Oryctolagus cuniculus: one gene and its partners. The protein of the gene in region 3 interacts with the protein of the main gene of each other region in a biochemical or structural test. Links are inferred from orthologs where the notes say so. Each region holds a gene or a part of one and is shown on either strand. Other genes may lie near its edges.

The links.
Region 1: the proteins of ARL2 (region 3) and TBCD form a complex in vitro, tested with the Homo sapiens proteins (2 studies listed by BioGRID and IntAct). The link is inferred for Oryctolagus cuniculus from reciprocal best matches to the Homo sapiens genes ARL2 and TBCD.
Region 2: the proteins of ARL2 (region 3) and UNC119 form a complex in vitro, tested with the Homo sapiens proteins (2 studies listed by BioGRID and IntAct, with this or other methods). The link is inferred for Oryctolagus cuniculus from reciprocal best matches to the Homo sapiens genes ARL2 and UNC119.
Region 4: the proteins of ARL2 (region 3) and PDE6D are reported together in a solved structure, tested with the Homo sapiens proteins (2 studies listed by BioGRID and IntAct, with this or other methods). The link is inferred for Oryctolagus cuniculus from reciprocal best matches to the Homo sapiens genes ARL2 and PDE6D.

What each region holds. Positions count from the first base shown.
Region 1 is NC_091448.1:397,568-405,034, forward strand, and holds the start of TBCD (tubulin-specific chaperone D), read right to left. Parts: upstream 5,042-7,467; 5' UTR 4,860-5,041; coding exon 4,676-4,859; intron 2,836-4,675; coding exon 2,785-2,835; intron 519-2,784; coding exon 421-518; intron 1-420. Other genes in the region: FN3K (fructosamine-3-kinase), read right to left, coding at 6,009-6,347, 6,893-7,015.
Region 2 is NC_091448.1:44,061,274-44,068,698, forward strand, and holds the start of UNC119 (protein unc-119 homolog A), read right to left. Parts: upstream 4,148-7,425; 5' UTR 4,070-4,147; coding exon 3,850-4,069; intron 1,814-3,849; exon of another isoform or gene 1,790-1,813; intron 606-1,789; coding exon 492-605; intron 37-491; coding exon 1-36. Other genes in the region: PIGS (GPI transamidase component PIG-S), read right to left, coding at 5,567-5,842, 6,177-6,387. UniProt on the Homo sapiens protein: Involved in synaptic functions in photoreceptor cells, the signal transduction in immune cells as a Src family kinase activator, endosome recycling, the uptake of bacteria and endocytosis, protein trafficking in sensory neurons and as lipid-binding chaperone with specificity for a diverse subset of myristoylated proteins.
Region 3 is NC_091432.1:6,519,931-6,527,513, reverse strand, and holds ARL2 (ADP-ribosylation factor-like protein 2), read left to right. Parts: upstream 1-2,677; 5' UTR 2,678-2,763; coding exon 2,764-2,911; intron 2,912-3,097; coding exon 3,098-3,317; intron 3,318-3,397; coding exon 3,398-3,560; intron 3,561-5,837; coding exon 5,838-5,918; intron 5,919-6,437; coding exon 6,438-6,572; 3' UTR 6,573-6,778; downstream 6,779-7,583. UniProt on the Homo sapiens protein: Small GTP-binding protein which cycles between an inactive GDP-bound and an active GTP-bound form, and the rate of cycling is regulated by guanine nucleotide exchange factors (GEF) and GTPase-activating proteins (GAP).
Region 4 is NC_091434.1:7,548,141-7,555,419, reverse strand, and holds the start of PDE6D (retinal rod rhodopsin-sensitive cGMP 3',5'-cyclic phosphodiesterase subunit delta), read right to left. Parts: upstream 4,486-7,279; 5' UTR 4,276-4,485; coding exon 4,226-4,275; exon of another isoform or gene 4,141-4,225; intron 1-4,140. UniProt on the Homo sapiens protein: Promotes the release of prenylated target proteins from cellular membranes. Modulates the activity of prenylated or palmitoylated Ras family members by regulating their subcellular location.

The DNA of each region.
Region 1 (7,467 bases), on a different chromosome or scaffold from region 3:
CATATGTCGAGAGGTCCCTGTTTATTACCAAAGTGACAACTTCACAGGGCCAGCGCTGTGGCACAGAGGGTTAGGTTAAGCCATCCCCTGCGAAGCCAGAATCACATATGAGCGCTGGTTCAAGTCCTGGCTGCTCCCTTCTAATCCAGCTCCCTGCTAATGTGCCTGGCAAAGCAGCAGAAGATGGCCCAGATACCTGGGCCCCTGCACCCACGTGGGAACCCCAGAGAGAGCTGCAGGTTCCTGGCTTTGGTCTGACCCAGCCCTGGCTGTTACAGCATTTGGGGAGTGAACCAACAGATGGAAGATTTTTCTGTCTCTCCCTTTCTTTATATAACTCTGCCTTTCAAATAAATAAATAAATCTTTTCAAATAAAGTTAAAAAAAAGTGACAACTCAAAAGCACTACATAAATGTTACCTTGGTGATGATGTAAAGAAATTTAAAAGCCAGGTGTACCAGGGCAGCTGGAGATGTCTTATCTTGCACCATGTCCAACAGCAAGTTCATCATCCATTCTAGGGAAGCACAATAACATTTACTGTTAAATGTATCGGTGTGATGTTAAAACAACGTATCAAAACAGGTGTGGGCATTTGGCAGAGCAGTTAGGACACCACTGGGACACCGGTATTGGGTGTCAACATGCCTGGGTTCAGGTCGGCTCTGCTTCCAATCCAGCTTCCTACTAATGCACCCTGGGAGGCGGCAGATAATGGCTTGAGCACTTGGGTACCTGCCACCCACAGAGGGGGCTGCAGGCACCCAGATCTGCCCTGTTCCAGCCCCAGCTGCTGGGGGTATCTGTGGAGTGAACCAGGGAGTGGAAGATCTGTCTCTCCTCCCTCTCTATGCCTTTCAAATAAAAAATGAAAATAAATAAGTGTTTATATATCAAAATAAAAAGGGTTTATTTAGAAATGGAAGAATGGGAGGGGCCGGGTTAACGCCCTGGCCTGAAGCACCGGCATCCCATATGGGCGACGGTTCTAGTCCCAGCTGCTCCACTTCCAATCCAGCTCTCTGCTATGACCTAGGAAAGCAGTAGAAGATGGCCCAAGTCCTTGGGCCCCTGCACCGTGTGGGAGACCTGGAAGAGGCTCCTGGCTCCTGGCTTCGGATCAGTGCAGCTCCGGCCGTTGCGGCCATCTGGGGAGTGACCCATTGGACGGAAGACCTCTCTCTCTCTCTGCCTCTTCTCTCTCTGTGTAACTGACTTTCAAATAAATAAAATAAATCTTTAAAAAAAAAAAAAAAGAAATGAGGCCGGCGCCGCGGCTCACTAGGCTAATCCTCCGCCTAGCGGCGCCGGCACACCGGGTTCTAGTCCCGGTCGGGGCGCCGGATTCTGTCCCGGTTGCCCCTCTTCCAGGCCAGCTCTCTGTTGTGGCCAGGGAGTGCAGTGGAGGATGGCCCAGGTGCTTGGGCCCTACACCCCATGGGAGACCAGGAAAAGCACCTGGCTCCTGGCTCCTGCCATCGGATCAGCGCGGTGCGCCGGCCGCAGCGCGCCGGCCGCGGCGGCCATTGGAGGGTGAACCAACGGTAAAAGGAAGACCTTTCTCTCTGTCTCTCTCTCTCTCACTGTCCACTCTGCCTGTCAAAAAAAAAAAAAAAAAGAAAAGAAAAAGAAATGGAAGAATTGGGGCAATCCTGTGGCACAGTAGGGACATCAGCAACTAGTCAGAACACATAACAAAGACAGTTTCACAGATCAATAAACAACATTCGTGGGGGCTGGAACCGTGGCAAAGTAGACTAAGCATCCACCTGCAGCACTGGCGTCCCATATGGGTACCAGTTTGCGTCCCAGCTGCTCTCCAATCCAGCTCTGTTTATGGCCTGGAAAAGCAGCAGAGGATGGCCCAAGTGCTTGGGCCCCTGCACCCGCATGGAAGATCCAGAAGAAGCTCCAGGATCTGGCTTCAGCCTGGCCCAGCCTTGGCCATTGTGGCCATTTGGGGAGTGAACCAGCAGATGGAAGATCTTTTGTCTTTGTCTCTGTCTCTCTCCTCCTTCTTTTCCTCATCTCTGTAACTCTGCCTTTCAAATAAATAAAAAATAAATCTCTAAAATTTATTTTTAAATAAAATATAAAAAGAAGCAAGGGTTGGGGCCAGCATTATACACAGCAGGTTAAGCCACACTTGCTACTCCCATATCCCATATCAGAGTGCCTGAGTTCAAGATCCAGTTACCCACTTCCAATCCAGCTTTCTGCTAATATGCCTGGGAAGGCAGAAGATAAGGGCCCAAGTGCGGGGGTCCCTACCACCCACACGGAAGACCTTGATGAAATTCCTCGTCCTGGCGTCAGCCTGGCCCAGCCCTGGCAGTTACAGGAATCTGGGAAGTGAAATAGCTTGCTTGCTGTCTCTCTTGCTCTGTCTGCCCCCTTTCCCTCTCTGTTGTTCTGCCTTTCAAATAAATAAATTTTTTAAGAATCACTACCCTTACACTAAGGTAAGAAACAAGTCTCAGCATCTTCTCTACAGCAGACATGACCACAGATGCCTCCTCAGCTGCTGGCAGGATTGAACGGTGACCACGTGACCCTGTGTGACCTGCCAGCAATAGCAGGTGACCAGACACAAACAGGTTAAAACTTGGGTAGGAGAACCAAAAGATGTGTTCTTTATTTCTTCAAGATTTATCTTACTTATTTGAAAGGCACTGGCACTACATCCCGCCACCCTCTGCAGCCACACACACGCGGCAGCACACAAGGTCTCACGGCCACCTGTCATTCATTCGGTCATCAGGACCATCAGCTCCCATGCTCACCAAGGTGTGGGTCCAACAGGTGAGGCTGCTCCTGGTATTTGTTCATTATTACTAAAAAGAAAAAGAACACAGAAGTCAATCACCACTAAGCCAGACGCGCACAGGGACCTCAGGAGCCACCCTGCTCGTCCTTGCTAAACGCAGGCAGCGGCCAAGAGCACACCCACAGAGGCCCCCCAGAGTGTGCACCCCCACTGCCCTCTGGCCCCCTGCTCCACACACCTTTCCTGGGGTCCTCTCCTCCCACGGCCTCCTGAGTCTTCCTCCCCAGCAGGGTCTCTCCCTTGTTCCTTCCTTCCCTCCCACTCCCGCTCAGGCACACACCCTCTCTCTTCCCTCAAAGCCCTGCAAAGTCTGACCCACAGCCCCCAGCTGCGGTGCTTCTGTCCAATCCAAGGAGCACTCCTCACTGCCGCCCACCTGCCAGGAGCAAAAGCCGGGCTCCCGCTGGTGCCCGGTGCCCGCCTCACCCTCAGTTTGTACGTGAGGCGGTGTTATCAGTCACCAGGCATTCGGGTAACTGACAGACGGGATTCAGACTGCTGCTGCCAGTGGCCTCTCCACCTGGACACCACCCAGCCTCTCTCCTAAAGCCCGGGCACTGCCTCTCCAAACCGAGGACAAGCGCGTGGCGAAAACGCTCTAGGTCATCATGCACCTCCAGGCCCTACAGACGCACTTGGAAGTCATCCACCAGGCTGACCAAGAAGCCACTCACACTGTGGCTGTCATCCCACACCGCACCCGTTTCTCCAAGTCTCAGCAGCCCACAGCCACGCTGGGCATCAAGCCAGTTCCTCCTGGTCCAACCCCGTGGCCCCGCCGAGCAGTCCCCAAACTGTGGTCCACACACGGGTCCACACGTGCTCTGCAGTCGACACGCTGAGGGTCACACCTGGTCTGCACAACTGATCTACACATTGCAGTCCTCACACTGTGGGACACACTGCAGGCGCACACTAGGCGCACACACAGGTATACACACAGGTGGGAGCACACACGGGGGGGCACACACAGGGGAGCACGCATGTTGCACAACACAGGCACACACAGGTGGGAGCACACACAGGGGAGCACACGCAGGGGAGCACACACAGACATACACACAGGTGGGAGCACACACAGGGGGGCACACGCAGGGGAGCACACACAGGCATACACACAGGTGGGAGCACACACGGGGGGCACACGCAGGGGAGCACACACAGGCATACACACAGGTGGGAGCACACACAGGGGAGCACACACAGGGGAGCACACATGTTGCACAACACAGGCACACACACATAGCTAGGAGCACACCCAAGTGCATACATGCAGGGGAGCACACACGTTGCACACCAGATGCGCACGCTCTGTATAACAGGTGCACACACAGGCATACACACAGGTGGGAGCACACACAGGGGAGCACACACGGGGGGCACACACACAGGTGGGAGCACACACAGGTGGGAGCACACACAGGGGAGCACACACGTTGCACACCAGATGCGCACGCTCTGTATAACAGGTCCACACACAGGCATACACACAGGTGGGAGCACACACACAGGTGGGAGCACACACAGGGGAGCACACATGTTGCACACACAGGTGGGAGCACACACAGGTGGGAGCACACACAGGGGGGCACACACAGAGGTGGGAGCACACACGTTGCACACCAGATGCGCACGCTCTGTACAACAGGTGCACACACAGGCACACACACAAAGGCACACGCACACACCGTGGGGTCCGTCTCGGGGCCGGGAGCCCACGTGCCACCTGCCCAAGGGTCCCGCTGCCCTCTCCAGGGGCTGCCGGGAGGGAGGGCAGGGTGCGCCCTCCCCGCAGGGGCCCCGAGACGCTGAAGTCCCCCGCGCCCGCGCACCGCACCCCGCCTCACCGCGGAACCGCTCCACCGCCGCTTCCCGCGCCGCGCGCTCGCCGTGCGCCTCCCGCAGCCCGCCGAGCAGCGCGCGGGCCTCGGCGCTCTCGCTGAACGCCTCCAGCGCGGCGCCGTACGCCAGCGCCTCCTCCTCCACCTCGTCGTCGCGGGCGCCGGCCACCGGCTCCTTGCTCAGGTCCATCGCGGCGGCGAGGCCCGGCCGGCTGAGGAGAGCGCGCAGAAAGGCGAGCGAAGGCGGCGCCCGCGCACGCCGGCCCCACCCAGCGGCCTCCGACCCCGGAGCCGGCCTCGCTACGGGACGCGCGAGTCGCCAAAATAGCGGCAGCGCGCGCGGAGGTGGCGCCCGTCCGGCGAGGGCCGAGGCTTACGGCGGCCGAAAACGAGAAGTCGCTTTCTGGTCCCGGGTCGCTCGCCGCTGTCGGGCTCCGGGCAAAGAGGAGCTGCGGCGGGGTCTCCGCGCAGGCTCAGTTCGGCGGGGAAAGACCGCGCTCCGATCCGGCCCGGGCAGCGGAGGGGCGAGCCCGGGGCGGAGCTGATGCTGGGGGCGGGCCCTGGGCGGGGCTCGTTTGGGGCGTGGTCTGAGGACAGACGAGCGACTGGGTGGGGCCTGAGGGCGTGGCCGGGCGGGGTCTGAGCCCTGGAGTGGGGCGGGGCCTGGGTGCCGGGGCGGGGCCATGACCGCCTCCAGTCCCAAGCGCCAGGGCCACCCCGCACTGCGGTCCGGCGCGAGCCGTGGGCGCCCGACGCCCACTGGCCCTGGGAAAAGCACCTCCCCCTGGAGACCCCAGGCCCAGGTGAGCGCTGGCGGAGCAGGAAGCACGCGATGGACCCCCACCCAGAGGTGGTTTTCATGTTTAAGGTTTATTTATTTGAAAGGCCTTTAAAGAGAGAAAGAGAGCCCCTGTCCGCTGGTTCACCCCTCCCCCCACATACCCGCAACAGCCGGGGCTGGGAGCCCTCAGCTCGATCTGGGGGCCCCCGGTGAGTGGCAGAGCTGCTGCCCCCGGGGGGGGAGAATTGGGGTCCCAGGGATGCACCTGCTGCGAGCAAGCCGTGCCCGGAGCTTCGTCCCTCGAGAGAAGGCGGCCGCGCGCGGCCAGGTGCGCGTGTCAGCCACGCAGGGTCAGTGGGCCGCGCACACCCCTGGCGGCGCGGTCGGCAGGGGACGGGTGTCCCATCTGCGCCCCTGCTCCCCTTACCCCGCCTTCTGCCGCTCTAAGGGGTGCTGCCCTGGGTTAGCGCGCGTCGGGGCCGCCCCCGGAGGCCGTTCCCGGGAGGGCTCCACCGGGCGAGCTGCGCCGCAGCAGGGTGCGGGGATCCCGGCCCGCGGTTATGCCAGCAGCCTGCGCATGGCGCCCAGCGCGGCCGAGCGGTAACTGCGCCCGAAATGGTTCCAGTGGTTGAGGAGGTTGAAGAGCTGGTAGAGCAGCAGCCGCTGCTCGGAGCCCGGCGCCTTGGGCACCTTGCGGTGGTAGGCGGTGAAGAAGGCCCTGGGGAAGCCGCCGAACAGCAGGGCGATGGCCAGCTCGAACTCGGAGTGGCCGTAGAAGGAGGCCGGGTCGAAGACCACCGGCCCCGCGTCGTCCTCCGCCGCGTTCCCCGACCAGAGGTCACCGTGCAGCAGGGCGGGGACCACCTCCAGGCCGCAGAACAGAGCCGGGATCTTCACCTGCGAGAGGGAGGGTCGTCGTGCCCAGTGCCTGGACGCGGCCGGAGGCAGCCCCTCTCCGCTCTGTGCGCGTCCCACTTCCCTGGCACCAGCGGCCGCAGCAGAGGACACAGCCCTCCCCACTGCCCTGTCACTGCTCCTCTCCGCCCTGCTGGCCACTTCATCCATGAGGTCAAGGAGCCAGTTCACCATAGGCTACAGCGGGACTTCAGAGTCAGGCTTTGAGACCTGGCCCTGGGGGACTCGGGGGCCCATCCTGGGGTGAGACATTCCCACTAAGACAGAGGGGAACGGAGGCTAAGAGTGGGCAGCTGTCAGTAACCAGGAGACGGGGACGGCAGTGCCCCTGGGCTCCACAGGCAGGAGGTCAGGTTAAATACCCCAGGGGGCCATGTTGGTCCTCGGATCCCACCCCTGTCCCGTTCCTGTCAGGCTCATAGTGGCCCCTGATGTGTGCGCCACTTCCCCAGCTCTGCACAGAGTCCCTCAGCTCTCCCGGGGTGAGAGAACAGCCTCTCTCCCAGAGAAGTGGCCGCAGGGCCCACCTGTAACCTCGACCACAGCTCTCGTGCCTCTCGGTCAGCATAGTCTTTTTCGATGAGGTCCAGCTGTGCCTGGAGCCGGTGCCGGGTGAAAAAGGTTGGCCAGTCGTCATGCCACTCATTCACCTGGGCAACGGAAGCAAGGACAGAGCTACTCGCTGTAGCCACAGGACAGTGCATGCAATCCGCCCAGGCCCTGGGACAAGGGCCGGCCAGCAAGCAGGCTGAGGCAGGGTCGCCACATACTCAGCTCTTCCAAAGGAAGGAGTTAAAGGGGAAAATGGAGACAGAACTGGCAACACACATAAACAACAGATACACTCAAATCTAACTATCAACAAACACATAAAAATGTCAAAAAATACTCTCGCTAAAGGGATTGACAGAACAATAAAGCTGAACTTAACCACAAGTGGCGTGCAGGAATGCACTTATATATAAACAGACAGAGGTTACAAGGATAGAAAAGAGACCCTGTTAACTAGTGTAAAGGAAGCTGGAGTGGCAACCTTCATACCTGCAAAGTCGATTTCAGAGTAAACAGTCTCATCAAGCATAAAGTCATTTCACAATGAACG
Region 2 (7,425 bases), on a different chromosome or scaffold from region 3:
TGGGGTCCAGATCCCGCCGGTTGATGGGCAACCGCTCTGCAAGGTACCCCAGCTGGGGCTCAGTGGGTGTCAGGCTGAGGCCCTTGCCCACCCAAGGTTCCTCCCCATGGCTCCATTGGTCTGAATTTTTGACAACTCCCCAGAAGATTCTAGTACATGTGGAGGGTTAGAACCATTGGTCAAATGATGATACCACTTGCGGGTTCTAGGTCAGATTTCAAATGAGGTTCTGTGGACTGCAGGGTGCAGCCGCCTGCAGTTCCCAAAAAGGCCTGCAGAGGGCAGGCTGGCAGGGATTGAAGGGGCAAGACGTCCAAGTCCAGAAACGTATGGCAAGGAAAACAGGCCCGGCTGCCTGCAAATCCTGGACGATCCTGGCATCCGAGCCTCAACTCTACTCCGACTCCTTTGAAGCCCAAGAAGTCGCTGGGCAGAGCTCTCTGCAGTGCCTGCCTGCCTCCCCCTCTTAGCAGCCCACCTGGCCTGCTCACCTGAGGCTGGGGGCTTCTTGATTTCAAAGAGGACAGTGCCTGAGTCCATGTCCCGAATCTTGAACCTGACGAAGTCGATCTTGTAGATATTCTCCTCGGGGGAGCACAGGTAGTCTAGGGGAGACAGGCAGCTGAGCAACCAATGGGTCCCCAAAGCCCTGCTGCCAGTTTGTGGGTGCCTGGATTAGCTACCTCTTTCTCCTGGAAGAGACAGAACTCTGCCTCGGAGACCTAAGCTGGAAGAAGAGCCCCATCCTACTGGCCTCAGCGGATCAGGGACAGTCAGGGCCCTTCCCCCACTCTCCCCTCCACCCTGGAGTTGAGGGTCCAGATCTCAGCCTCAGCTCTGCCAGGCTGGCTGGATGCCTTTGTGCCAAATGGGCCCAGTCCAGTGGGAGCCCCTGGTCCAAGAGGGAAGACACAGCCCCACCTTCGGGAACTCCACTCTAAAAGGGGCGACACAGCCCTGTCCATGGCCACCTCTGGCACCACCACATCCAGATATGTCAGGCAAGGATGGTTGTGATTTGACTTTCACTGACAATGGGGGGTGCCAAGGCAGGTACAAAACCCTTTCTCTGTTCTTCTTCTCTCCCAGCCCCCCTTCTCTTCCGATAAGCGGCTTATCCAAGCCCAGCTCTCTTAAGCAGCTTAGCCAAAGCTCTGCTGACTCAAGCCCAGAGCCTAGGATACTGGGGGAAAGGGAGCCAACTTTGCTCCCATCCCCTGTTGCTCTCCAAACAGGAGGAAGTCTTAGCAAACAGAGGGAAGACCCTGAGACGTCACCCATCCACCCATCTGAGCCCCTTGCCACAGGGAAAGCACCCCCAGACCCCACAGAGGACAGGAGAGTCTAGGCCAGGAAGAGGGTGTGGGTGAGGTTAAGGGGAACCAGGAACAGAGACAGGCCCTGCTTGAGGAAGCTCAGGAACATACAGGGCCTGATCTAACCCTCACTGCTCTTGCTGACCAACTGCAGGTGCTCAGGGGGCCGATGAACAGGAAGGAGCAGAGCGGTGCAGGGGGGCTCCCATGCTGCCATCCCGTACAGCACCACACCCTCCCCTGGTGGCCCCGAGAGGCCTGCAAACTACCCTCCAGGCCCCTGGGTCACCTCCTATTCCTCTAGGGCAGGAAGAGGAAGGGAACACAGTCATTCTCTCTTCCCCAGGTCTGCCTCTTCTCCTTGCCTGGGGTAACCCCCTCCAGGAAGCCCCCTGGCAGCCATTTGGGACCATGGGGCCCAGCACTGCCCCATGGTGGGGAAAGGAGGGGGAATGGGCGTGGGTAACTCTTACCTCCATGCTGATTTTCATAGAAAGTAAGCACTAGTCCCAAGGTATACAAGGGTACTTCAAAAGGCCATGGGAAAATGGAATCAAATGTTTACTTGGGTGCACTGGAAGTCTGACATCCATGCACAGCGACTCCATCATACTTATTTCCATGAACTCCATGGGGAGCCCTCATGGAGAGACGGTGCAGGCCACAGGGAAGGGAGGTGGCAGAGCTGGGAGTGGGATCCTGGGAGCCAATTCCCAGCTCCCCAGGAAGCCCTCTCTTCCCTCATCTTCCACCTCTCCGGGCCTCTCCACTTGCTCGAGAGCAACCTCTGGCAGCCTGGCCCCAGTCTCTTCTACTGCAGACTCGACCTGCCAACCCCTCTGTTGCAGAGGAAGCGTGGAACAGGGGCTGCTCCCTCCCTCTGCCAGGGGAGGATGCAGCCCGGGGCCCAGGGTCACGATGGCCTAGGGCTCGGAACACAACTGTTCCCTTCCCCTCAGCCACAAATAGCTCCCTAAGCTGGATTCAGGGCCTGGTAATCCTGGAACAGCAAACCTCAGACCTGTGTGATTAGGGTCAGAAGAGACCATCCCAGGGCTGCAGGGTGGAGAGACCGGCACGTAGCTCCTGATCAGCACAGGGAGGGCTCCAGTGAACACCTGCCCGCTGCACTGCCCACGGATGCCCCTTCTCTCGGGGCTGTGACATTTCCTCCAAATTAGGAGACACATGGGAGTACCTGCGCTGGAAGCCTCCTATGGTTACAAAACAAACCCCAGAAGTTGCCCGGGCCTCAGGTCGGCCTGACCTCCGATTTTCTATAAGGGAGTCTGTCCCAGAGCTAAGCTGGAACTGGGTGCTGTTGCTGCAAACCGCAGCCCAATCATCACCAGCATCAGCCTGCTCCAGCCCTCTCCCACCTTCAATACCCACAGGAACGAGAGCTCCACGCGCTGGGGGCCCAGACAAGAATGCCCGCTGCTTAGCTCAGAGGGAGCGGGGTCCCCAGGGAGCCAGAGGCATGCTCAGGCCTGCCACCAGGGTCCCTCCACAGCCCTGCAGCTCCTGCAGCTCAGGGCTCACGTCCACTCCAGTGCCTGCCTCCCATCCCCACACAGAGGCCCCAGAGCTGCTCACAAAGGGGGCCAGGCCGGGCTGCTGCTGAACGATCCCATGTGGAGGGCCATGGTCTCTGCAAGGCTGAGCCGTGGCCTCTGCCAGGAGGCGTCCTGGCCCTTGTCCTCTGCCTAGAGTGGCCCTCTCCCCTGCCCTGCATGCCCAGTTGTCTGCCTCCCAGAAGCCAGGGGCAGCCCTGAGGGGCCCTCAACGCATGGATAAAGGAGCCCTATTTATAGTGCAAGCAGAGCTCAGATTCAGACGGCTCTTTATTTTCAGAGCAACCTGATGAAGTCGGTGTCAGTATCCCCAATTTACAGATGAAGAAACATGCTCAGGGAAGTGTAGCTACTTGTCCAAGGTCACCCAGTCAATTACACTCAGAAACTCCTACCCACGGTGGAAGGGATCAGAGAGGACAGGCTTGGGGGGCATTAACCCGCTCCCATGACAGGGCCCACAGCCAGCGCAATGACGCTTCCTGCTCGTTCCCTCCTGGGGATGAAGATGGGATGGGGGCACCAATGCTCAGGGAGACCCGAGGGTCTTGTGGGCTCAGGAACAGCCTCCCCCTGGCCCCCAGCGTGGGCGGACACCCTGCACGTGACCCCCCTCATTGGTGCGGACGGGCCTCCCAGCCCCAAGACTCCCTGTTGCAGATGCTGCCCCACCTCCACCAAAAAAAGCGACAGACTCTCAAAGGGGAAGAAATGGGTTAGAAATAAACCTCCAGAGAAAAGAGGGGGAGCGTACCGAGAGATCAAGGGAAGGGGAACCCAGAGATCTCAGGCTTGCAGGCAGAAGGGAGAGGAGTAGAGTAGGGGACACAGGCGAGGGGCCTGGTGGGGGAGGGGAGGCGAGAAAGGGGGCGGGGGCCGGGGCTCAGCGCGCCTTGCAGGCCCCCTCCCGGCTCGCTCTCCCTCCCGCCCGCGGGCGGCGCTCCCTCGCCGGCGCTCACCGCCCGTGATCCGCTGCAGCCCCAGCACGTCCTCCGGCCCGATGGGCTGCTTCCTCTGCAGCGGCCCCGGCCTGGGCCCCGGGCCTGCCTCTGGCTCCGACTCGGACCCGGATTCGGATTCAGCCCGCGGATCCAGCGTGGGCTCCAGGCTCGGGCCCGAGGACCCCGGAGCGGGCTCCGCCCCCGTCCCGGCCCCGCCGCCGCCCTTCTTCACCTTCATGGCCTCGCGGGGCCGCAGCTCGCCTGCTGCCGCCGCCGCCGCTGCCTGCGCTGGCTGGAGCCAGGGGAAGGGGGAGCGTCCGCAGCCCCGCCCCCGGCCGGGGCCCCAGGTACCGCCCCGCCCCCAGGGCGGGCCCGGTGGGGCCACGCCCACCAGGGCTGGACGACCTAGGGCGGACGGGGGCTGCCCTGGATTTTGTTCATTTTTGAGTACTTTTTCAGAAGTATTGGAGGTCCTAAGTGCTCTTACCTGCTGTGTCCCAGTCTTTCTGCCCTTCTGGCGAGTTCCAGTCCCAGGGCCTTCGCCTGGGATCCTTTTCCACTGCTGCTCTCATCCCAGCCTTCTGGTGTCACTCTGCTCAAATGTCATCGCCTCTAAGGCCTCCCTCCCCCAGTCACTATCTGATCAGTCTGGTGTTTTTTCTTTCTAAAGCACTATGAAATTATTTTTATGTGTTCAGACTCTTGCCCCTGACAGGCCTGCTCCGTGAAAGCAGAGATCCTGTCTGCTTTGTTGTATACCCCAGCGCCTAGCACAGTGCTCTTGGCAGCTCAAAACATTTTTTTTTTTTTTCTTCAAACTGATGAAAGAGTATCCGAGGGCTTACACTGGCACAAGCTATTCTTTCCAAGACACGGTACTAAAAGGCAGGAGCTGTTCCAGGACTTCCTGGAGACAGGAAGAGCACATGGCCGTGTGGAGGCAAGGTGGGCCTGTGAGCGCAGGAGTACTTTATCAGAAAACCTTTAGACATGGAGGAAGAAAGAGCGACAGTCATGCTCCCACTTCTAGTAAACTCACTATGTACTAAGAGCCAAACGGAGCGCAAACACTTTCACGTGCTTATCACATTTAATCCTCACAGCCGCCCTGGAAGGGAGGTATCATCAGTGTCATTTGAACAAACGGAAAACAGGCTCAGAGAGATTAAGTGGCTTATCCAAAGCTCCCCAAACAATACTGCAGAAGCGAGGATATGAATTCAGGCCTGTTTGATTCCGAGTCTAGAACTTACCACACTGCCTCTCGGCAAGCATGAAGGGAAACTGCTACACACAGCACCAGATCCTGGGCTCCGGTCAGGCTGTACCCAACAAGTCAGCCAGAAGGGAGAGGAATCAGGCAGAAGATCCTGGAGGTGACCTGTGCCATACCCTGTCCGTGACAGCAACGCTACCGCTCTCCTCTGCTGCGGTCAGAGAGAAACGCAGGGGAACAGGCTAGAATCTAATCCAGGGTTTTCCCCTGCTTTATGCAGAGGCGAGCTGCCCCCGCCTCCAGGGAGACAGGCAGAGGCCTTCAAGTCAGATAAGGAGGTAGGGAAGGGACCTGAGCCAAGGGACTGGGGAGCGGAGGGAAGATGAGCCCATCTTGGAGTGGTGTACTTGGGTTGCTGGAGAGTCAGTCAGTCCCTCCCCGAAGCCCCATCCACGTGCCTCTGTTGAACCCTCCCCGCCTTGGCCAGAAGCGAGGCTTTCTGCTGAAATGCCGCCCTGCTCAGTCTGTCTTCTCAGATTTGTTCCAGTTTTTCCGGGTCTCCAGGAAGATCTTGGCCAGGGAGTGCAGGATGGGCACGGCCATGGGGAGGAAGAGCGGGATGTAGATGGCAAACTTCTGGTCATCGGGGAAATAGAGGAGGTGGAGGAGCGAGGGGTCAAAAAAGGCCCGCTCAGAGGACGTCACAGCCTCCTGGCTGGCGACGAAGGCAGACGCCAGGTGCCCAGAGGCTAACTCTTCTGCTGCCTTCTGGACTGCAGCTACAGCCCTGTACACCTAGGAAGGGGAGGGGACGATGGTTAGCAGTAAGGCCTGGGCCATTGCGGGGAAGGGGACTGGGCCTTACTGGGCCTTCTGTATATCAGGGAGGGGGCCTGGAGTTCACCAAGGATCTATGCAGGTCAGGCTAACAAGGCTGCGGCTTATTTTCTGAGGTCCAGCTTGAACCCTCTCTCCGATCGTGACTCCTGCTGGGGAGCTGGCACGGCTGTCTGCAGGTAGCCAGGGGCACCATGGGTGGCACGCCCACACTCATCCCAGGCCTCAGCTGGCTCTCTGGTCTTGCCACACCCTGGGCCTCACTGGCCACTCCAATCCTAGGCCTGCTTACCTCAGATGCCACGTCGTCCTTGATGACAATGTTGCTGATCTTGCCCAGGAGCTGGGCCAGAGACGTGAGGGTGGTAGTGGCTGTGGCCAGGTTCTCCACCGATCGAGCCCAGAGCAGCCGGTCTAGCTCCCATGTCATCAGCCCTTCACTCTTGGGCCCTGAAAGCAGGCATTTTGGAGGCACCTGGGGCTGAGCAATCCCAAAAAGCAGTCTGGAGAAACAGGGAGAGAAGATCAAAGTGGCTGAGACCAGAAGGTGGGAGGCTGTGACTAGGATTCCTGTAATACCTGCTCTAAGCCAATGATTTTCAGTCGTATCCAGAGCCACAGGGGTTGTGGCAAGTGTCTCAGGGTCTCGGAAGGTGAGCAGCAACGCCAAGCAATCCAGAGCCCCCAGTCCCTGCTTCAACCAGAATGTTGCATTTCCACTGTTTCTTTATTAGATTTCCAAAATCTTGTGGGAAAAAAAAAGTTCCATGGTGCAGTGGATAAAGCCAACACCTGTGATGCTGGCATCCCATATGGATGCCAGTTCAAGTCCTAGCTGCTCCATTTCTGATCCAGCTCTCTGCTAATGCCCCTAAGAAGGCAATGGAAGATGGCCCAAGTACTTGGACCCAATACCCATGTGGGAGACCCAGATGGAGCTTGGGCTCATGGCTTCAGCCTGACCCAGCCCTAGCCACTGTGGCCTTTCAAATAGACAAAATAAATCTGGAAAAAAAAAAAAAGAAGAAAAAGAAAGAAAAACAAAGGACAAAGGTTCTATAATAAAAGTATTTCTAACACCAACTCCGTTGAATTCCCTCACTCTTTCTACTCTCTTTGGACAAATGGGGCCAGTGGGACTTGGTGTTAAGAGATGATGCAAGCCCACCTTTGACATGGCACATGTGCTGTGCTTCTGTAAGCTGTACCCACGACAGACATTACTAATCACTCGGAACACTCTCCTGGTGAGCCCAGACACAACTTCAGAACACAGGACTTCAGACTGCCACTCTCAGTGGATCAGTTCGCGTAAGAATTGCCAGCTATCTTCTTAAGCACCCCTAATCATACCCCAGGGATCTGAAGTACATGAACTTATTTTTCTTAAAACAGGTTTTGTCACCTGCTAATCCTCCTCAAGAGGAGGACACAGAGCTCCTTGGAAACCTTTCTCAGTTTCCCTGGGGCTCTAGACACAGCCAAGACATTCCTGCCAAGTGAGATTTCTCTGCTCTCGGCAGCCCCCTTCTCGGCAGCCC
Region 3 (7,583 bases):
ACCCCACGGCCTGGGCAACCTCCCCCACTGGCTGCTCCGAACTCACTGGTCATCTGTGAGGGCAGACCCCAGGCGGGTCCCGCGGCCTTGGCATTCCCTGTTCTGGCCTCGGCTGGGGTCAGAGCCTTCGCGCTCCTTTTCTTCCCCTGTGTGCGCCTGATGCAGGGAAAATGCGGTCCACCCCAGGCGCCCACGCGGGCGCCCCGCCGTCTCCACCTGCCCGCAACCACCTCCCGAGGACGGGAAAATCCAGCTCCTTCCAGACCCCTCCCTGGCGAGGCGAACTCCACGCAGCCGCCTTCGGCTAGATCGGAGTTCAAACCTCACCCTTAAACTCTCTGGACTCCACAAAAAAGGAGATGAACCCCTCGGGGCCGCAGTGCGCAGAGCCGGGACACATGCGTGGCCACGCGCGGTCAGCATCTAGCACACGCCAGCCCCTGTGACAAGGGCCTCGGTGGAACCAGACGATCCTCGGGGCAGGGCTGTGCCCCCGACCCGAAATGACCAGGGCTCAGATGCAAAGAAGCCCCCCGCCCCGCACATCTCGAAATGGCCCCCAGGGGGCACTTTCGCCCCGGAGAAGCACGGGTCCTCTTCCCACCGGAGCCGGAGGAGAGGAAAGCCCCATTATCTCCTCCGACACCGGCGGGGCTGGGGGGACGGCAGGATCCACACCGTGTTTCCTAACACAGGGCCTTTGGCGACCCCGGCCACGCTCAACACCCGCGGGGCTCTTGGTTCTGACCCCCGACCCATCAAGACGCAACGGTTCCCGTGGCTGGCCGAGGCCTTGGGTGCTCGGAGGAAGATGGGGACTTCGCTCTCAGCCCCCGGGACGCGAAGGGTTAAGGCGGGCGGCGCCGCAGAAGCCCCCCCGCACCGCCGCAGCGGCTCCCGCCGGCCGCCGGGCAGTCACGTGGGGCGAGGGCGGGCCCACGGGAGGCAGCAGCCAATAGGCTGCGCTGTCGTTGGGCGTGATAGCCAATAGGATCAGGGAGCGGGGGCCCGGGACTAGGAAGAGACGGCAGCCGGGAGGGGGCTCCGGGACTATGGGGCTTCTGACCATTCTGAAGAAGATGAAGCAGAAAGAGCGGGAGCTGCGACTGCTCATGCTGTATCCTCCCGGGGGCCGGAGCCGCGGGGTGGCGGGCGCCCTGCCGGGTGGGCGGCGCCAGGGTGCGCGGACGCTCTCCCGTCCCAACTGCCCATTGTGCGTCACGCACGTGGGCCCTACCAATTGCTCCCGGCGGGGGGCCGCGAGGAGGCCGTACCACTGGCTCGGGGCGGGGGGCTCCGTTCCGAAGGCCCAAGGTGCGGGCCTGAAGCCGAAGCGCCCGGACACGGCGTCCCGAATGGAAGGGGGAGGTGGGGCCCGGAGGTGACTGGACGTCGCCGTCCGTCGGGCGGGACGGAGCTGGGGGCCCCTGGCCGCCCCGGCTCTGACCTCCCACCCCCCCGCGGCCTGTCCGAGGGTGCCGGGCCCCGACCCCGCCCTCGAGTTCGAAATCCCAGGGGCGAGCGGGCCCCGCCCTCAGCTCGCGCGGCCGGGGGCGTGGACGCCGCGGGTCGTTTCGCGCTTGTGTCCGACCGTCCGTCTCTGCTGCGGTCACCCGTTGCTGTCCCCGGGCCGAGGGCTCGCAGGCCCTGGCTGGGGAGAGGAGACCCTGATGCGTGCATCTGTGTCGGGTGTAAAGAGCCCCGGGAAAGGCCCAGGGAGCTGAGCGCCACTGTGTGCGCGCCAGCGTCCTAGGGGCTGGGGTAACCCAGCAAAGCAGACCCTGCGTGGCGGAACGCTGTAATGCAGGGAGGAGCAGGGTGCTGAGTGGCCCGTGCTCGGAGGACCAGGCTCGCAGAGTGACAGCTGAACACGCAGAGCTGGGGGAGGTGGGCTGGGGGGGGCAAAGGGAGCAGGTGCGCCCAGAGGGGACCCCAGAGCCGCCTCCCCTGGGGCCTTCTGCTTCCTGACAGTGAGGGGTGCAGAGCACGAGCTGAGGTTGGGGAGAGAGACTGGTGGCTTGGGCCACGGTGTGAGCGGTGAGATCCTGAAAGGGGGGGGGGGACGTTCTGCCCCACTCCCCGCCCCTGGTGTCAGGTTGGGGAAGTGAGGCCCGACTGCCAGGTTCCTGGTGCGAGCAGTTACAAGGACCAGGGGCCATTGGCCGAGGCTGGGAGGAGCCGGGGAGGAGCGCAGGGGCTGGGAGGCAGAGTTCTGTTCTCCCCTGAGAGAGGCCCCAGACTTCCCGGGAAGGGCAGGTGGGCAGGTGGGCAGGTGCAGGTCGGGGGTCTGTGGAGGACACCGCCCAGGGAGTGTATGCAGGCCAGAGGTTGGAGGAGGACCAGGAGCTGGGGGTGGGGGCCCCTGGGACTCACCTTGGCGAGCAGGAGCCAGAGGCTGGTGGGTGTGGTTCAAGGATGAGGGAGAAGGCAGGGGGGTGGACAGGAGCTGCCTGCAGCCGAAGTGAGGAATGAGATGGGGGAGGGGCTGAGAGCCACAGCGGGGTCGTCAGCTGATTTTCAGGGCCTGGGCCTGGGCTCAGCAGAGGTGCTGTCCTCACCTCCAGTTTGTGGCCTTGGGTCACTCAAGGTCGGGAGAGAGACGGCTGAGTCGGGGACCTGCCCGGCCACAGCCCCCTTGCTCTGCCAGGTACACCGAGCTGTGGGAATGACTCCTCTGCTGTGAGCTCACACATCCATTTGCATGCATTTGGAATATTCACACATCCATTTGCATGCATTTGGAATATTCACACATCCATTTGCATGCATTTGGAATATTCACACATTCATTTGCATGTATTTGGAATATTCACACATTCATTTGCATGTATTTGGAATATTCACACATCATTTGCATGCATTTGGAATATTCACACATCATTTGCATGCATTTGGAATATTCCAGAAGCAGGTGAGAGTGTGGCTGTCCCCCGGGGCCTTGGCAAAGCCGGTTATTTGGATTTGGGGCCTTGGCTCAGGGCACTTCGCGTCCTCCCCAGTAGAGTGCGGGCCTGGGAGGGAGTGGCCTTGGTCCACCAGGACCCACGCCGAGGAGGGCCCGGCCAGAGGAGATGCCTGATGCCGCCGCGCCTTTCAGGGGCCAGCGTGGGCACCACTCATCTTGGCACAGGCGGGGAGCGGTCGGTCGGTCCTCGGGGCGCAGGGACGCAGGGATGCGGGGACTTCCTTAACCGGGCGCGCCGCAGCGGCCTGGACAATGCCGGCAAAACCACGATCCTCAAGAAGTTCAACGGGGAGGACGTGGACACCATCTCCCCCACGCTGGGCTTCAACATCAAGACCCTGGAGCACCGCGGGTGGGTGAGCAGGGCCCCGGCAGGGCCCGGAGCCGCAGAGGGGCCTGGCTCATCCGCTGCCGCCTCCCTCCCCTGCGCAGGTTCAAGCTGAACATCTGGGACGTGGGCGGCCAGAAGTCCCTGCGCTCCTACTGGCGGAACTACTTCGAGAGCACCGATGGCCTCATCTGGGTGGTGGACAGCGCTGACCGCCAGCGCATGCAGGACTGCCTGCGGGAGCTCCAGAGCCTGCTGGTGGAGGAGGTGCACGCCGGGGCCGGGCAGGGGGTGGGGGGTGTGCGCGAGGGGCTGGTGGAGGAGGTGCACACCGGGGCCGGGGAGGGGGTGGGGTGTGCGCGAGGGGCTGGTGGAGGAGGTGCACACCGGGGCCGGGCAGGGGGTGGGGGGTGTGCGCTAGGGGCTGGTGGAGGAGGTGCACGCCGGTGGGGGGGAGGGGGTGGGGGGGTGTGCGCGAGGGGCTGGTGGAGGAGGTGCACGCCGGGGCCGGGCAGGGGGTGGGGGGGTGTGCACGAGGGGCTGGTGGAGGAGGTGCACGCCGGGGCCGGGGAGGGGGTGGGGGGGTGTGCGCGAGGGGCTGGTGGAGGAGGTGCACGCCGGGGCCGGGAGGGGGTGGGGGGGTGTGCGCGAGGGGCTGGTGGAGGAGGCGCACGCCGGGGGGGGGGGGGGGGGCGGGGAGGGCTGGGGGTGTGTCTGCATGCGCACAGCGCTGGTGGGGCGTGGAGAGAGGCTGCTGGCCGGGGGCGGCCCTCCTCTGTGAATACATGTGTCGGGTGTGTGGACACCTTTCTCCACGGGCACCCAGAGGGACGCCTGGGACAGACCTGTTCCTGCACCGCACCCCACCACGGGAGGCCCATGGTGCCATTCTGTGCACTGCGACCTGGGCTCCTGACCCCCGAGGGCCGCCGGTTTTCTCCTCTGAGCTTCAGCGTCTGCCCTGAAGCAGGCATGACGTCACCCACAGGACTGGGCTTAGCGAGTGAGGCTCTGGGGGGCGGGGGTGGGGCGCCCTACTGTGTGCCCTCAGGAGAGCCACCTAACCGCTCACTTCCACATCCCGAGATGATCTTTGAAAGCAGAAAGATCTACTTTATGTTATTTGAAAGAGAGGGAGAGACGGAGAGAAAGATCTTCCATCGCTGGTTCACTCCCAGATGGCTGCAGTGGTTGGAGCTGGGCCAGGCTGAAGCCGGGAGCCTGGAGCTCCATCCGGGCCTCCCGCGTGGGTGACAGGAGCCCCAGCACTTGGGCCATCCTCTGCTGCCTTCCCAGGCGCGTTAGCAGGGGGCTGGACCGGAAGCGGAGCAGCCGGGACCCTAACCAGCGCTCCCACGCCGGATGCTGGCGTCCCAGGCAGCAGCTTTACCCAGTGCCGGCCTCCCGAGCAGTTTTCTTTAAAACGGTAGATTTACAGAAGAGTTGAGGAGCTGGAGCCCTCACCCCTTCATAGCTCGCGTGGTGCGAACATCTTCCGTAACCCGGTCATCTGTCAGCCAGGAGCGGAAGGCTGGGGACGGCGGTCCTGTCCCTGCTGTTGGACTCAGCCTCGCGCCGCACTGCACGCAGCTGAGAGCCAGGGCTCCTGGGGAGTGGAAAGGCAGATGTTGGGGGGGGGGGGCACAGATCATGGCCGGCAGACTCTGAGCGCACGCCCCACAGGCCAAGGCCTACAGGGTGAGGGCGATGGTGTGGAGGACGCCCGGGGAAGACGCGGGTGGAAATATCTGGAATCAGAGGCAGAGTGAGGCCTGCTGGGAGTGGCACGTGAAGGGGGAAGGCAGCCTGCGGGGTCTCTGTGGGTCAGACCATCGGAACCACAAAGAGGGCCAAGGATGGTCTTGTCGCGGGGTCTCTGCAGGTCAGACCACCGGAACCACGGGGGGGGGGGCAGGATCGTTCTGTCCTGGGGTCTGTGGGGTCTCTGTGGGTCAGACCACCAGAACCACAGGGGGGCCAAGGATGGTCTTGTCCCGGGGGTCCACGGGGTCTCTGCGGGTCAGACCATGGGAGCCACAGGGGGGACCAGGATTGTTCTGTCCCGGAGTCTGCCGGGTCTCTGCGGGTCAGACCACCGGAACCACGGAGGGGGCCAGGATCGTCTTGTCCCGGGGGTCCACGGGGTCTCTGCGGGTCAGACCACCGGAACCACGGAGGGGGCCAGGATGGTCTTGTCCCGGGGTCTGCGGGGTCTCTGCGGGTCAGACCATCGGAACCAAAGGGGGGACCAGGATCCTCTTGTCCTCGGGGGTCCACGGGGTCTCTGCGGGTCAGACCATGGGAACCACAGGGCCCTAGGATGGTCTTGTCCTGGGGTCTGCGGGGGTCTCTGGAGGTCAGACCATCAGAACCACAGAGGGGCCCAGGATCCTCTTGTCCTGGATTACAAAAGAGGAAACAGGAACTGGGAGTGAGGGGCCCGCTGCCCCTCCCACCCGGGCCGCTCCCGCCCCCACAGCCGCTCTGGGCCAGTGGAGGAGGGGGCTGCCGGCCCTTGAGCCCCGTCCCCTCTCTGCCCCGCAGCGACTGGCCGGAGCGACCCTCCTGATCTTTGCCAATAAGCAGGACCTGCCGGGAGCGCTGTCCTCCAATGCGATTCGCGAGGTGAGTGCGGGGCTCACGGGACAGGGAGGCGGGCGTCTCGCCAGGTGTTGGGTGGCATTTGTGAGCCCCTGCTGTGTGGCAGGTGAGGCGTAGGGGTGGCGCCAGGGCCTGTTAGTTACCGCACAGGCGGGCACCCGGCGCCCTCCGCCCCGGGGAGCTCCCTTTGCCACGGCGGCCCCCTGCTCTCGCTGGCCAGGACCGCCTGACCCCGGGGATGAGAAAGCCGGGTTAGAAACCGGTTCTGCCTTGCCCGGCTGTGTGACCTTGGGGGCCTGTGGAGCGTCTGAGCTTTGGTTCTCCTGGGCGTCCGAGGCCTCGGAAGCAGAGGACGCGGGGACGAGGGCGCGGGGACGCGCGGGGGGTCCCCAGCAGGATGCCTGGGACCTGGCGGACGCCGCAGCAGGGGGTGGCACTGCCCAGGGAGCTCTCCCCCCCGGGGGGGGGCCCCTTGCCAGGGCCTGGGCGGCTCCCTGGGTGGGGAGACCCGGGCTGCCCCCACCGGTACTTCCGCCCCGCCAGGCCCTGGAGCTGGACTCCATCCGCAGCCACCACTGGTGCATCCAGGGCTGCAGCGCGGTGACCGGGGAGAACCTGCTGTGCGGCGTGGACTGGCTGCTGGACGACATCTCCAGCCGCATCTTCACGGCCGACTGAGCCGCTGCCCGCTCCCCCGCCCCACCTGCAGAACTCACACTCCCCACCCCCGCCCAGACCGGACTGTCTGTTGCCCTGGCCCTACCCGGCCCGCCGCTGCGCACCCAAAAGGAAGGGCTGGGGCTGGACAGGCCCCTCCGCTGCTACTGAGGCCGTGGGCCTCGCCCTGTGCTCAGCTCTGAGAATAAACCACTCCTCGCCCCGGCGCCCAGCTCAGCCGTTTCTTGATTCAACCTCTCTGGACGCCACCTGGGATGCCCGAGTCCAGCGGGGGACAGAGAGGCAAAGGCCCGTTGGCAGCCCGCAGGTCGGCTGCTGCTGTGTCACAGGGAGTGGGAGCCCAGGACGGGGCTGTGGAACCTCCACCCGGGAGAGTCCAGGCAGGCTTCCTGGAGGAGGTGACACTGGAGCTGGGGCGGGGGGAGGGGGGATGTGTTTTGGCAGAGAAGGGGAGGCTGGGTCACAGGGTAGCTGCAGCCCTCCTAGGTATGGATTAGAAAAAGGGACACAGGCCCCGGCCAGGGCTCCCAGCCTGTTGAAGTTCAGCCTCCGGTTCTCTGTGGCCACCAAGAAGCCGTGTGCAGTGGACAGCGTGCCTAGCTGCCGGCAGTGCAGGTCCAGGCAGAGGGACTCCCACACAGGGACACAAAAGGCCAGGGGCGTGGACTGCAGTGTAGACGGACATCAGGCGAGGTGTTTAAGGCCTTCTCACAGGCTATGGAGCTTTTTAAAGATTGATTTATAAATCAGAATTAGATCTTCCATCCACTGGTTCACTCGCCAGAGGGCCAGGTGGAAGCCAGGAGCCAGGGGCTTCTTCCGGGTCTCCTACGTGGGTGCAGGGCCCAAGCACTTAGACCATCCTCCACTGCTCTGCCAGGCGCATTAGCAGGGAGCTGGATTGGAAGTGGAGCAGCCGGGACTCGAACCGGCGCCCACATGGAATGCCGGCGCTGCAGACAGTGGCTTCACCTGTGCCACAGCCAGCCCCCACCCGAGGATCTTAATCCA
Region 4 (7,279 bases), on a different chromosome or scaffold from region 3:
CCTCTTCCAATCCAGCTCTGTGCTATGGCCTGGGAAAGCAGTAGAAGATGGCCCAAGACCTTGGGCCTCTGCACCCGTGTAGGAGACCTGGAAGAAGCTCCTGGCTCCTGATCGGCACAGCTCCGACCCTTGTGGCCATCTGGGGAGTGAACCACCGGACAGAAGACCTCTCTCTCTACCTCTCCTCTCTCTGTGTAACTCTGACTTTCAAATAAATAAATAAATCTAAAAAAATTAAAATAAATAAAGAAAATCTTTTTAAAAAAGAGTAATATGACAGGGGCTGGCACTGTGACACAGCAGGTAAAGCTGCCGCCTATGATGCTGGCATCTCATATGGGCACCAGCTCGTGTCCCCGCTGCTCCACTTCCAGTTCAGCTCCCTGCTAATGGCCTGAGAAAAACAGCAGAGGATGGCCCAAGTGCTTGGGCCCCTGCCACCCACATGGGAGACCCAGATGAAGCTCTTGGCTCCCGACTTCAGTGTAGCTCAGTCCCAGATATTGCAGCCATCTGGGGCATGAACCAGTGGATAGATCTCTCTCTCTCTCCCTCTTTGTAACTCTTTTACATGAATGAATGAATAAATAAATAAATGAATTTAAAAAGGAGTAATATGGCACATCTATGTCACTGAAAACAATTGGAGGGGCTGGCACTGTGGTGTAGTGAGCTGGGCTTCCACCTGTGACGCTGGCACTCCATATGGACACTAGGTCATATTTTGGGTGCTCCTCTTCCATTCCAGCTATCTATCTGCTTATGGCCTAGGAAAGCAGTGGAGGATGGCCCAAGTGATTGGGCCCCTGCCTGATGTAGGAGACCCAGAAGAAGCTCCTGGCTCCTAGCTTCGGGCTGGCCCAGCTCCGGCTATCTGGGGAGAGAACTAGTGGATGGAAGGCTTTTCTCTCTTTCTCTCCCTCTATGTGTCTATAACTCTGTCAAATAAATAATAATAAATTGGAAATAACTATCTCAGAAATTATGAACATGGTAATTTATTACATTAAAAAGTATGTTACAAAATAATACTCATAATCCCATTTTAATAAAAGCTTTAAACATTAGCCATATTAGGCTATATTAAAATGTTAAGAAAGGTCATTTTCTAGGTAGTTTATAATAGAAAAATTAAAAACTATTTTCCAAAATACACTGCTTTTTAAGGTATCTCCTCTAACCAGACATAAAAATAGTCTGCATAAAAATGAAAAAATAGTCTGCATAAAAATGAAATGAATTCATTTTTGTATTCTTCAAATACACAGTACTCTCTTCTTAACAGACACCTTTGTTGAGTGAATGATACGGAGAATGTGGGATTACAAATAACAACTGAAGCTGCTTAAAATAACCAAACCCAAAACCTTTGTAGGAGAATTACATTTGTCCCCCAAGTCATATTTCACTCATGGTTTTAATTTACAGCTAGGAAATGTTGTACTTTTAACAAACAGAAAAGAAACACAGATAATGAGTGTCAGTTAAAAAATGGTGGGGTGTAGATGACATGGAAATCTTACAAATATTTTATTTTTGAAATAACAAGGCAAATAAAAAAGCTTACACTAAATTTTCTCTGACCATATCTGATTTATGTAATTTGTAATTCACATTTATTTGGTTTCTACTTGTATAATGGACAGATGGGCAATGTTCTGTGTGAATAAAAGGAACACAAATATTTATGGGGCCTTTACAATGACTTTAAACACATGTACTCTGTTCATGAAATGCCAATCCTTCTGCGGACTATACTAAGTCATACTATAAAACTATAGTAATTAAACTAAATGTGCACAGATGGATCAATGAAATAGAAATATTCTAAAAAGAAAATCCATTTCTTATAGAAACTTTCTATAAGACAAAGATGGCATTTCAAAACAGTGAGGAAAGGACAGAGCAGCTATTTAGTGAATAGTCCTGGGACGACTATGGAAGCAATGATTAGATCTCCACCACACACATGTAAACACCCTGCAGTTAGGCTGAGGAGCTAAATATTGAAAAGAGAAGAAAACAGGCTATTTGATTAATCTTGGGATAAAGAAGTTCTCTTTAAACGATATGCCACATGCAGAAGAAGGAAATACTAATAAATCTGGAATGATAATTTAAAAATCCTGTTCAACAAAAGAAGGGGACAAGCAATACATTGAGAAAAAAATACTTGCAACATACTTCATAGGCAAAGGATCAATACTAAAATGCAAGAGAAATGATCTGGAATTTCTCTCGCAACAATAGCTAGCACACGATGCTTACACCAGGTGCTTTTCTGAATACTTTGGAGATCAATTCATTTCATCTCACAACCAGGTATTATTATTCTTATTTTTACATGAGAAAACTGAGGTAGAGGTTACAGAAGTTGTGCAGGGATATGGGGTCAGGAATGTAAAGCTAGAATTCCAAGGCAGCAAATCCTATGGTTCTTGCTTTCCTTTTCTCTCTTAATCCTCAGATGCCAGTAAAGGACACGGAGGACCAGCACTCTCACTTCACTGCTTCCCAACTTTATGCGGCTGCTCTCCTGTCTCAGGGCTTACTTAGCTCCACTCAAACTTTCCCTGAAAGCCTGTTTGTCGACGCAGCAACATCACGGCTGAACTGGTTAATTCCCCATTCCTGCCAGTGGGCTGACACCTCCTGCTCTCTACTCTTTCATATTTGTCCTCCGCTTCTTTCTCAACAAGTTCAAGAGCCAAGACTGAACGAATGGTGAGAAGCTCAAGCATTCCTTTTCTGCCTTGCTCAAAAGCCACCTTCCGGGTTTTCAGAAATACATTAATTGCAATCCAAAATCTCAAATTCTCTGGTTTACTGTCTGCAACACATATGTTAAGTATAAAGTATGCAAGAGAAAAAATAAAATCCATGTCATAGCTCTCCGAACACTTGAGCTATGCCTATCCCTGTCGAGGCTCCATTATGAAGAGAAACCCAGAAGGGAACATGGAGCTTTGAGAGGTTGTTCCTAAACTCCACCACATGAAAGTACTGAAAGCTGAGCACGGATGAAGTCTGCAAGGCTAACACAGCCTTGGGTTTTTAAACAAGCCTAACAGGATTCCACTGGAGATTTTCATCTGTACATCCCAAACCTCCTGACCCTCTTCTCGCACTGTGTTCTACTACCAACTTGGTTTCTGGCTATGACAAAATAATTCAAATGTGTAGGGGTGAAATGGGCACTGTGACAACCCGACAGGTGGGGGTCAGAGAACAGTGCTTTGCTAAGCACCCAGGGGAGGGGCCCCAAAGCGATGCCGGTATTTTCACCCAAAGCGATATTTAAGAATGTTCCTCACTGAACGGATAGGGTGCTAAGAAGAGATTAAGGTCAGTAGGAGAATGTAAAATTGGAATATGCAAGATCACATTGGCCAGACTAACCCTCCACGAAAACACAAAGCTCTCTAACTACCGGCTCCACCCAGGCCCGAGGCAGGGACTTCACACCTGACCGGGTCCCCAGCGCAAGCCAACCCTTGCTGGACAGCTCCGCCACGACCCGGCGGCAGGCACCCCTAAGGCACCCCGGCCAAGGCACCTGGAGGCATCCCACCACCCGCGAGCTCCGCGTCCTCGCCGGGCTGCAGGGAAGACCCGAGGGGCCGAGAGGCGAGCGGCGCCCGCCCCCCCACCGCCCTCTGCTACTCCAGCCCTGGAAGCCACAAGTGAGCAGAAGAAGTTGTGGCAACCAGACGGGGTGAGGCGGGGTGAGGCGTGGAGGGGGGGGGGCGAGAGTATTTAATGCCAGGCATCGGCGCTGGTCCCACGCAAGGTCGTTCACTCCCAGTCACTTCTCTGCTCCCCCGGGCGGGCTTCCCGCCAAAGACGCCGCCGGGCTTCGAGGCCAGCCCGCCGCGCCCCCTCAGCCCTCCCCGGCGGGCCGCGGCCCCTCCCGGCCGCAGCTCCGAGCCCAGCCCGCTTCCCGACACCCCTCGCCGGCGCCCGGCGCCCCTCGCAGCCCAGGCCCCGGGGCTCCTTCGCCCCCGTGCCCGCGGCTCCCGCCAACGTCCCCCTCCGCCCTCAGGACGCCCCCGTGCCCGCCTCCCGCGCCCCGTGGCGCCGGGGCCTGGGACCTCGGCCCCTTCCTGTCCCCCCTCGCTGCCCCTCTCCTCGGGGGCCCACCTGGCGCCCCAGTCCCCGGCCGGTCTCCTCAGGGAGCGACCGCCTCCCAAGTCCTCCCGGCCCCTCCCCGCTCCCGGGCGGATACAGTTTGAAGCCTCTCAGGATCTCCCTGGCCCGCTCGTCCTTGGCTGACATGTTGCGGCGGCCGCCGCCCGCGGCTCTCTCACGCTGCCCTGCGGAGCCTCGCGGACCGTGCCCAGGAAGCGAGCACAGAGCCGCAGCCCGGCCTGGAGACCTCGGGCAAGCAGAGGCAGCGGCCAGACCCGGACCGGCCTCTCCCTCCCCTCAGCTCCCGCTCCTGATCCTTCTCCTTCCCTCTGGTCTCGGAGCGCCCGCCCCTAAGCCAATGGAAAGCCCGCCTCGGCGATTGGCATTCTCACCAGCCAATAGCAACGCTCAGCGGCTTCGCAGGGGGACGAAGAGCATCCATGGGAAGCGCCCTCCCCGAGAAGTCCCATAGGACAAAATTTTCACTGGGTGTTGTTGCCTAGAGTTAGCCCCAGTGGGGGCTTGGCTTGACATCTGCAGAGGCTCTAGGGGCCTGCTCCTGCTGCTGGGCTCACTAGTCTCCTGAGACGACCGCAGGTTGCATTGTGCGAAGGGGCAGAGGACTACATTTCCCAGAATTCCAGTAGAGCGCCAGGGGACCACAGATCCCAGCACGCAGCAGAGAGGCCCAGGGACTACAAATCCCAGCATTCGTCGCGTCCCGAGGCTCTGTAACTTAGGCTCCAGTGTGCCGCGCAGTGTGCGCAAATTCGTAAACCTGCCGGCAAGGTCGGTGGTTTCTGCATCCCGAGACTGAAAACCAGGCGGGAAGACCCTGTGGCCCGGTGAAAGACGATGACAGCCCACAGAGAATTAACTTCTGTTTACATGGAACTCAGAAATCGCCTGCAAATCATGGTAAGGTTGCAAACAACAAAAACACTGATTAAACCACGAAAGAATGTAACAAAACGACTTCTTCAAACCGTGCTTGTTTGTTGGACGGGGGCGCCGTTTGCGTGTTTTGCGGGGACCTCTGGTGTGTTCCTGCCTCGGACCAGGAGAGCTATCGATTGTGTGCTCTGTCAATACGGGAAGGTGCTTGAAAGAATTTGCTAATCCTGCCCCTGCTGTTTTTACGTGCGAGGGAATTGAGGCCCAGAGAGGCGAGAGACCGGCCTCAGGTCACTGCAAGTTGGGGCAGAGTTAGGATTCGGCCCCGAGTCTGTCGCCCGCAGCCTGGGAGGTGATATTTTTAGCAGTATGGCAGTGCGATTACTGCCCGCCTTGTTGAGTAGTTTGCCCATCCAAGGTTGGAACACCCAGAGGTTGGGTAAAGCATTTATTCGGTGGATTTCTGGCAGATGAGGAAGTGTGTGATATTTGTTTTGGTAGGACTTGGTCTTTTGATTTGTTCTTTCTTTGTCACTCAAGGTGACATTTGATGTGATTTCAGGAAGTGGGTAAAATCGCAGGGTGAGCCCGGGCTTGCTGGGAGATGCTCTGTGTGTTTTCCTAGGACTTTCTTCCTCTCGTCCCCCTCTGCACCCAGCTTTTCACCAGCTTGTCACCCTCTGCACTCAGCTTTTCCTTCTGGGTAATTCAACAAACGTGCTTTCTGCTTCTGTGATTTGTCGGGCACTTAGTGGGTAGAAGACATGGTCCCCGCCTCCACAAAGATGACCGTCTATTTGAGTTAGGGAGACTCCACTGAGAATCAGGATGGAGCGTGACAAAGGGCATCAAGGTGACAGCAGTATGCCACGGGGGGCTCTGGTGGAGAGATTGATTATAGCTGGCCAAAGTTGATGGAGGAGGTGGCCTTTGAGCTTGAGGGATGGGTAGGATTTTCTGTTAAAAATTTTATCTAAAAATATTTTGTTAATGAGATAGAATATTACATATGGTAAGGGAACACTTTTCACGTATGTGAAAACCCCTGTTGTCATCCTCCAAATCAAAACATGGAAGATTTCCAGCCATGCCTTCTGCCAGTTTGCAATCAGTATTGCATCCTGCCATCCGGAGAAAAGCAATGCTTCTGGCTTTATTTCTGTAGATCAGTTTCATCGGCTCTTGAGTTCCACTTTAAATATAATCATACAGTATGGACAATATGTGTCTGGTTTGTTTTGTTCATCAGTATTTTTGTGAGATTCATCCTTGTTGTGTCCTTTTTTTTGAGTAGTATTCCATTGAATACACACACACACACACACTGTATACCACAGTTTATTCTACTGTTGGAGGGCATTTGGGTTCTCATCCTTTTTGTGGCTATTTTAAAGCTGCAGTGAGCATTCTGGCTTCTCTTTGTGGATGTTTGTCTGCTTTCCTGGAAGAGCTGCTGGCCTGCAGGCTACGTGCGTCCCCACTGATAGCAGATACTGCCAGTTTTCCAAAGCGGTTGTAACAGTTTTGTGCCTGCACCAGCAACGTGGGAGGGTTATGGTTGCCTCTGATCCCTGTCAACCCAGAGTGTTTGCTGTCACTCTTGTTGGCATTAGTCACACCTTTCCTGAGATTAAGCACCTTTTCATTTGCTTATTGCTACCTGAATGTCTTCTCTTGTGAAGTGCCTGCTTTTCACAGATTGGGCTGTTTGTCTTCCTATTAATTTGTGGTTCTTTACATAGTCTGGGTAAGAACCCAGTTGTCTACACGCTTCCAGTCTTTGTATCTTTCCCAAGACTGTGCCTCGTCTTTTCACTCTCTTTTCAAACAGAAATTCATGGCTTTAATGTAGTGCAAAACTCAGTGCTTTTTGCATGAATTTAAGAAGTTGTTGTCTGTGGAGTTGGTAGGATTTTTACACCCAAATATAAGAGAAAAGCATTGCAAAGAACAGAGAACGAGCCCGAGCACAGGCTGGTGTGGTCAGGGGAGGTAAAGGCCTGGAGCTTGGGCTGGGAGGAGGGTGGCGCAAGGAACAGCTGGGAGGGGTAGGAGGGAGGACCCCAGGAAGGGCTTTGCCTGGAGCCTCGGAGCCTGGACATCACTCTGGAGGAAGCAGAGGCTTCGCTGGGACATTTGAGAGCTCACACTGGACTCAGTTGCCTTCTTCCCACCCCCAAGTGTTGCCCCTTCTCCACCACGTACTTTGTTCACTTAGCACCTCCAGGTAGCCCTGGCCGCCCAGGCCAGAATCCTG